Linked DNA regions of Arabidopsis thaliana. The protein of the gene in region 2 interacts with the protein of the main gene of each other region in a pairwise test. Each region holds a gene or a part of one and is shown on either strand. Other genes may lie near its edges.

What was found. Proteins that work in one complex are often made in the same cells at the same time.
Region 1: the proteins of AT1G33760 (region 2) and LBD25 interact in a two-hybrid assay, tested with the Arabidopsis thaliana proteins (one large-scale study listed by BioGRID).

Annotation. Positions count from the first base shown.
Region 1 is NC_003074.8:10,236,593-10,241,150, reverse strand, and holds LBD25 (LOB domain-containing protein 25), read right to left. Parts: upstream 2,638-4,558; 5' UTR 2,421-2,637; coding exon 2,337-2,420; intron 1,201-2,336; coding exon 805-1,200; 3' UTR 503-804; downstream 1-502.
Region 2 is NC_003070.9:12,235,830-12,239,223, reverse strand, and holds AT1G33760 (Integrase-type DNA-binding superfamily protein), read right to left. Parts: upstream 1,678-3,394; 5' UTR 1,281-1,677; coding exon 726-1,280; 3' UTR 514-725; downstream 1-513. Other genes in the region: AT1G33750 (Terpenoid cyclases/Protein prenyltransferases superfamily protein), read right to left, coding at 2,876-3,394.

The DNA.
Region 1 (4,558 bases), on a different chromosome or scaffold from region 2:
GTTGATTTGTATGTAAATATATGTGGTTGTTAGTTCGCCCCAAATGACATAAAATTATAAAAGGACCGACTTTAAAAAGAGATTCCCTATGAAGACATGTGCCTAAATTAAAGCTACAAAATTTTGGTGTTTCTAAATTGATTAATTTATTTAAACTTTTTTCAAGTCGACAAATATATAAAATCACTCAATTAACTTAAAATATTAGCAACTTTGTGTTTCTGACCAGTGACTAGTGTGTGTAATCAAACAACCAATTATTAGCCTACATTCCTATGAGTCTATACAAAACCGTCGACATGAAATTTTATTCTTTTGAATATCATAATACAATAGTAATATTGCAATCACAATTCGTTGAATGCAACTTTATAAAATGCTAGAAAATCTGTCATTAATCAATGAAATATGTGTACATACATAATTTAGAACATAAATCTTTTAGCAGAAACTAAAAAACTTGTGAATAATGACCAATGGGCCACATGTAAATCAGTGGAGCTAGATCAAGTTAAAGAGAGTTATGGAGATATGAGCATGAGCAAGATCTAGTTATTCAACATCATCAAAAATATTCCTTGACCTCTCCCATGAAAAAAAAATTACAAGTTAAATTACACATACGCATAAGTATATACATGAAAATAAACATAAATATACATGCATGCATGTCCCCATATTTACACATATATACATACGACTAATAACACTTACCATCACATCAACCATCCTCTCTCTCTTTATACTTCTCCGCCGCTAATTTTCTCAAAGAGTGATGATGACTAATCAACTCTCGTTGACCAGTCAACCCCTCCGACCACCATAAGCCGACGTCGTTTCACCACCGAGACAACCAGCGTACCTCATGAGATCAGCATTTGTCTCCTCGAGTTCCCTTTGCAACCTCAAGACCTGTCTTTGGAGCACCGAGATCGCTCCAACGCAGCCATACACTGGATCTTTAAGTCGTGCTTCCGCCTCGTAAGCCAGCGAGTTGACCGCATCTTCCCGCTGATGGGGAGCCACTTCGTGGAGGATCTTGCTCACATTGCTTGCCCCGAATATCCGGTGGACGTTCGCAAACTTTGTAGGTTCCTCCGGCGGAAAATAGGGTGCGAATACGCAGTCTGACGTGCATTTACGCCGGAGGAATTTGCATGCTGCACACGGTGAGTTTGTGTAGTTCGACATATATATCCCCTGATTTTTCAGTTGCAAAAAAATGGCAAAAACGATTTAATCACATCATAGTATCTTATTAGTAATTCTCGAAACTACAGTATAAGATTGATATGAATTTTGATCCATATCGATCGATATTGTAATTCTCTGGAGTCTCTTCTTCTTCTATATACATCAATTATCAATATCTTATCAACAATATGTCTACGTACACTTTTTAAAAATTGATACAGTTTCAAATGTTTTATTTCCATTTTGAATTTGGTAACTAGCAAAGTAGCAATAAAATGGTATCATCATCAATACAATATAACTTACAAGACGTATGATGTTCTTAGTCTTTTAATCCTCAAAATTCATTATATTCTACGTAAAATGGTAACTAGAAATAATAGTCTCATCATCAATATAACTTAGAAGACGTATGATGCATGTTCCTATCTTATTATCCTTAAAATTCATTATTCATAGTGTTCTTTCTGCGTCAAAAAGATGTTATACCACCTAAATTTATATTTCAAATATATCTCAAACAAATATATACATCCTTGTCTAATGAATTAATTTTACATAATTATAAAATCTTGGGAAATTGAGAATAATCCATACTAAAAAGTTATTGGTGAATCTAACACACAAGACGATTATGGGAAATTATATAAACTTGTGTAACATTACACATTAAAATGTAAACGTCCATATGATATTCATAGTAATATGAAGAAAATGGGTGTCGGAAATTCGAATTACTCACACAGGTTTTACGTTTTAGAGCTAGTATTAGTTCTAAACAAACAAACAACATGTTCTCATCAAAGCACTCTCTGTCTCTCTGACTCTGAGTTCCCCACATGTACTACATATTAGTTTGAATCTTGAATTTATGACCGAGTTTTATTACCTGCTATATAGGATACTTTCACTGTATATTAGAAGTCCCGAATTCCTGATTTCACTTTCAATTGTAACTTCTTCTTTCTTTTGTAAAGAAAAAAGGTCGTCCAAATTATAACTTGGTAGTTCAAGACCAGTGATCAAATTTTCATGATCTAAACTCTCTAAATTTATATAATCAATCAACATATATAGAAAGTATATATATTATGCAAGTGTGAGTGAATTGGCTGTACAGAATGAAAAACTCTTGGTCTTACCTTTAAATGGATCGCAACAAGAAAAGGTCCTTCCTTGATAACTTCTTGAGAAGGTTTGATCTTCTTTGTTTCTCTCTTGGGCATTAATTATAAGAAAGGAGAATGAAAAATCTTCAAGTAGATTTTGCAATTATTGGGATATTTTTGTTGTTTTCAGAGAGGAAACCCTAGTTTGAGAGAAAGAGGAATCTCTCTAAGGGGAAAGTTAGAGAGATAAAGAGGAGACATGGGTTGGATATAGAGAGAGAGGGGCAAAAGGCATTTTTGGTGCGATGAGAAAGAGAAAGAAGATGAATATAATGAGATTACAAAAAGACAAATTGGCCTCAATTAATTGAGGACCTAAAATAGTGAACTTAAGAAAGAATAACTCTGACCGTGGCAAATTTTACTCCATTCAATTGCTTTTAGTAAATAACTAAATATACAACATATTTTCTATCTTATTTTTAATTTTGACAGCATAACGTATTTTCTATTAAATTTTAAAAAACTAATTTATAATTTTTGTCAACTAATTTATTAAAAAGAAAAAAATTAAACGAGCCATTAGTATATAATATTGTTTATATATGTGATATGATACGGTTCAGTAAGTATGTAAAATATAAAAGCGATAATTTGTCATGAAAAAATACTCTTTTATTATGTAACTTAAGAATATATGAGATAATTTAACAATGAAAGAAAATCAAATGATAGTAAACCAATACTTTCATGTATTTAAATTAAGGTACAGCCATATACCCTCAGGAGTCCGAACCATTTTATAAAGAAACTAATGATAAACCTTAATTAGTAAGCTATTAGTATTATTTATTTAAAACTAATGATAAACCTTAATTAGTAAGCTATTAGTATTATTTATTTACCTTTGACCTTTCCACGTTTTATTATTCCGTAAAAAAAAAATGTTTGTGAAGTCTTTGGACCACTTAAATATATTGTTTAAACTAAATTTCAGAAAGTTTTGGGATACAAACTTACAAGAACATCAGAACTATTGAGGATCTGAGCAAATCCGACATGTGTACTGTCATTTTGCTTGATTGAATTTAACTGTTAACGTCTTGATTTTACTGTTTACATTTCTGAAAAATAGTTATTAACTTTTACGTTCTTTTAATTAGTTGATGTGTTCATTCAAAAAATTTGACATACCCTGATGGTTGAGCCACATGCTTGAATCCAAAAAAAAAAAAAAGTTTCTATAGTGCATAACAAAGAAAAGAAAAAACTGTAATCAATTTCTATTTAAAATTATACCGTCATTTTCAACGAATATAGATACCATTCACAAAAAAGGTTGTTGTTTGTTGGATAACTCTTGTGGTTGTATTATAGATCTTATATTTCCTATAATTAAAATATTTAGCGACTTAGCATAGTATTGGTCAGCTACAACTTTAATCATCCAACGAAATTAAGACCTAAAAGATATACCAAACAAAGTAGTTGATATATAATTATATATCCTTTCTAATCCAAGTGCACTTACAAAATTAAAATGATATATATAAGTGATGATGATACCAAGGCATTATTGTTTCCATAAACATATATATGCTTCATATTCCATATAAGTGCAATATTTGGTAGCAAGTGCGTATATAGATTATACCAATGATTAGATAAGATAATCAATCATTGGCAAGCATTATTTTACGTATTTCTTGTAACGATACTTTACGTATTTCCTGATTAGATTTCAGTGTATACAGATATGCTTCATATAGTATGTGTACAAAGAAAGTATAAAAATAATAGAAAATTGAAAGAAAAAGTGAAGAAAATATGAAAAGAGAAGGACCAATTCAGATCGGAAAAGAAGAAGCACTTGAATACGCATGCATACAAATATCCCTATACGGCTATACATAAATATATAAGATCAGGCCTGGCGAATGAAAATGTATGTCTCTTATCGTGTATATAAAATAAGCTAATGTGGGTCGACCAAAAAAAGCCAAGACGTCCAAGAAACGAAGAAGCCAAGATAGTGTGTGTGCTAATTAATTATGTATCCATTTTAGAAGAATTCATGTATATGCATAATGCATCATGTATGTATCATGCATGCACCTAGAAGTCCTATAACTAGAAGTCGGTATACTTTAATTATCAATTGGACAATTGGGATAACAAAACCTGGTAAGTTCTCTATATACATATATAAACTTTATAAATAAATAAATAAATGGTTTAAATGTAAGTATAGCGTA
Region 2 (3,394 bases):
TAATTTCACGCAATTAGGCCTAACAGAAAACTGAACGTATGGGACAATTAAAACATTTCATACTAATATAATATTGACTGCAACAGTTGTTATTGATACTGATTATAGTATATCTTTAGGTAATCAAAGCTTTTCAACGGACTCATGCTCACTATAATATGGAATAAACCTGTACTTTTGAGGCGGCCATAGTACGAATTGGTACGTGCACGTCAGCTCGTGTGTATATATTATGGGTTATATGTGTCTACATAATGGACTTTCATCAAATAATTTTGTTTTTAATAAACCATAGGAGTTTCAGGTTTTTGGTCTATAATCTTACCTATTTTTCGGAGTTAGTCTTATTCCAATTTAACGAATACCACAACGAAAACCGAAGACGAAGCACAAGGTAACCACCCTTTTTTCTAAGTTTTTATAAGATAACATTTTTTTTTCTTGGATTGAGTTTTTTCCTTGGTTTATATTTATTTCTCGTATAAACCATATGATACTATCTGACTGACAAGGAACCAAAACATTACATATATATTGAAAATTTGAATTAATCATATTGGTATTTATGACATCATCATTGTTAAGAGATTACAAATTGAACCCAAGAAAAACAGTAAGGGTCGAAAATTTATTATACTTTACTGAATATAATCGAAAAACCTTGGTTGATGATATGACATTATTAAAAAAAAAATCAAATGGTTAAGCAATTAAGCGAACGTATATCAATTATTAGAATTCCATATGGACTGAAATTGCTGCATTTCAAAAAACTCATCCCTATCGTGCTGACCAAAAAATTGTCCGTATAATTCTTCGTAGTCAGCAACTTCCAAATCCTGCATCCACCCCATCCTCGGCGAGTCTAATGGAGACTCATTAATCGCTTGAATCTGATCCGGAGACAATCCTACTCGAGAAAGTCCTTGACCAGACTCGAGAGCTGGTTCACTCAACCTACCTGGTTTAAACATAAGTGCTGCATCTTGTGCAGCCGCTTGAATGTGCTCCGAACTAGAGCTTTCCGGCCGAGGAAAACTGTCGACGAGTTCCGGAAAGTTGAGATTGGTCCCACGTCCTCGGAGGTGAAGAGCCGCAGCATCGTAGGCCGCTGCAGCCATCTCGGCCGTCTCGTAGCTTCCAAGCCAAATCCTTGTTTTCTTACCGGGTTCTCGGATCTCCGATACCCATTTGCCCCATTTCCTCCGACGAATGCCTCTGTAGGACAACTGGTTAACGTTGAAGCGGTAATCTCGTTGGCCAACGTAAGTGTTTTCCATAATTAATACAAGGTTATTTTAGTAGCACTATATTGTGTGTGTGTGTGTTTGTGAGTGTATATAGAACTGTGCGAATTAGTTTAGAAGTTTTGAGTTATAGAGTCAGTGGTTAAGTGAAATTGTATATATAGAGAAATAAAGAAGACAATAAATGAGGGAATAGAATTTGTGGATGGCTTGTTTGGTTTCAGGTGAAGTGAGCTTCCTACGTAGTTACTTGTGAAGTGGAAATATGCTGTCATGCATGCATGGGTCTCTATTACTTACATGGATATTGTACATTAGCAAAGCTGTCTTTAAGCGTGTACAAATAGTGTGTTGTGTGTATTTGAAAGAAAACGCTGATTGAATATTATTTTTTTGATTGAAGACAAGTTTGATATTTATATGATTTGGGTTCTAAATTTTTTTAGAAATATTTTTTTACACATCAAATATGTTTTCAGTAAAAACTTTGTACATGCCTTCCAAGAAAATTGACATGGCCTTGATAAATATATTTCATATTTGGTATATTCTGGGCCTTAGTTAGATTATAGATATTTAACTTGATCAAAAAGTTCAAAATATTTAAACTTTTCAACTAGGAAATAGATTTCATAGTTCATACTGAGATAAATTAGTGTTTCATATAAAAGATCAATTATTTTAAGTCAAAGTAGTATATTGTGTTTTGTTGTTGTAAGACCAAATGAAAAGAAAAGCAATTAGTCCTTTATATCATGTGTTGGTTAGAACTTTAGGTTCTCGTACAAAAGTCCATATATGCCATATCTCAAGAGTCTTGACAGCAAATATGATAGTAACATTATGTAACTGCCCATAGAGTCATAGACAATTAAGTTGACCAAAATAATGAATTGTTCATAACGAAGAATTGGGGAAAGAAACCCATCTAAATTAACCAAAATTTGATTTTATGAAATTCTAAAACCCGACCAGCAGAAGATCGATGCTCTGTCTCCAAATAATTTCTTGATGTGTAGTAAAACCTCATGAGCCAAATTCCAACCCTAAATAGTTAAATGGCTGCATAATGGTCACCACCGCCACTAAGGCACTAACAACCACACCGTATCGAATTGTGGAAATCCGTACGGTCCATCCGGTGGTCAAAAAAATACTTTCAGTCTTAATCTCACCGCCCATTATATATTGTTGCTTATCTACAAGATTTGGATCCTACATAAGAACTCAACAAGTATAACAAAGTTTTGCTTTCCAGTCTATTTTTTGAACTTATACGTTCCTTGGTTCAAGAACTCATGTGTGTAATTTAATATTATTTGCAAAGAAACATAATTAAGAATTGAATAGTTTAACGTATATAAACATGAATTAAGAATTGAATAGTATAACGTATATAAACATGAATTATGATATTATTTCATTCTTTTGGTCAACTTTCCTTGTCGTTGTGGGTAGTGAAAGTTATAAAAAAAACTTCTATGCAAAATAAATTAAAATAGTAAAAACTAATTGAAACCCCAGGAATTAAAATTTAATGGAAAAATATGTGCATAGAGCAAATTAACAATCATCAATAATAATGGAAAGAGAAATGTAGATGAATTTTTCGGCAAGGAGCCAAGTCTTCAAAGCGGAAGAGGATGGAAGAACAAAGATGTGATGAGATCTTTGAGCTTGCCATTGGGATTGGTGAAATTATCACCCTCCTCGTAATACAGATTGACCAATCGTACAATGTTGAAGCACCGGACCAGAATCGGACGTGACACACTTTTTATCGTCAAGAACTCTTCCATCATTATCTTGTAATTATCTCTAATCATCTTCTTAATTTCTCGAACCGCCAATTCCTTGGTAACATTATGTTGCTTAACGTAACAGTTCACCCCATTAACCACTTCTCCTCTCCTCATCTCCTCCTCGAAGCCGGCTATGTCGTTTGTAAGACGAAATATAACACTTAAAGCTCGTAACATTTTGGGTTTGGATTTGAACCACGCGTTCGTTTGATTCTCCTCACAATCTTCCATCGATATAAAGCTGTACATTGCAAAGCATCTAATCCCTGACGAGTCAAGCCCAAGCTCAATATAGTCATCAAAGGTTGGAACGTGACCTGCTCGTGCCCATTTTGATATTTCAGC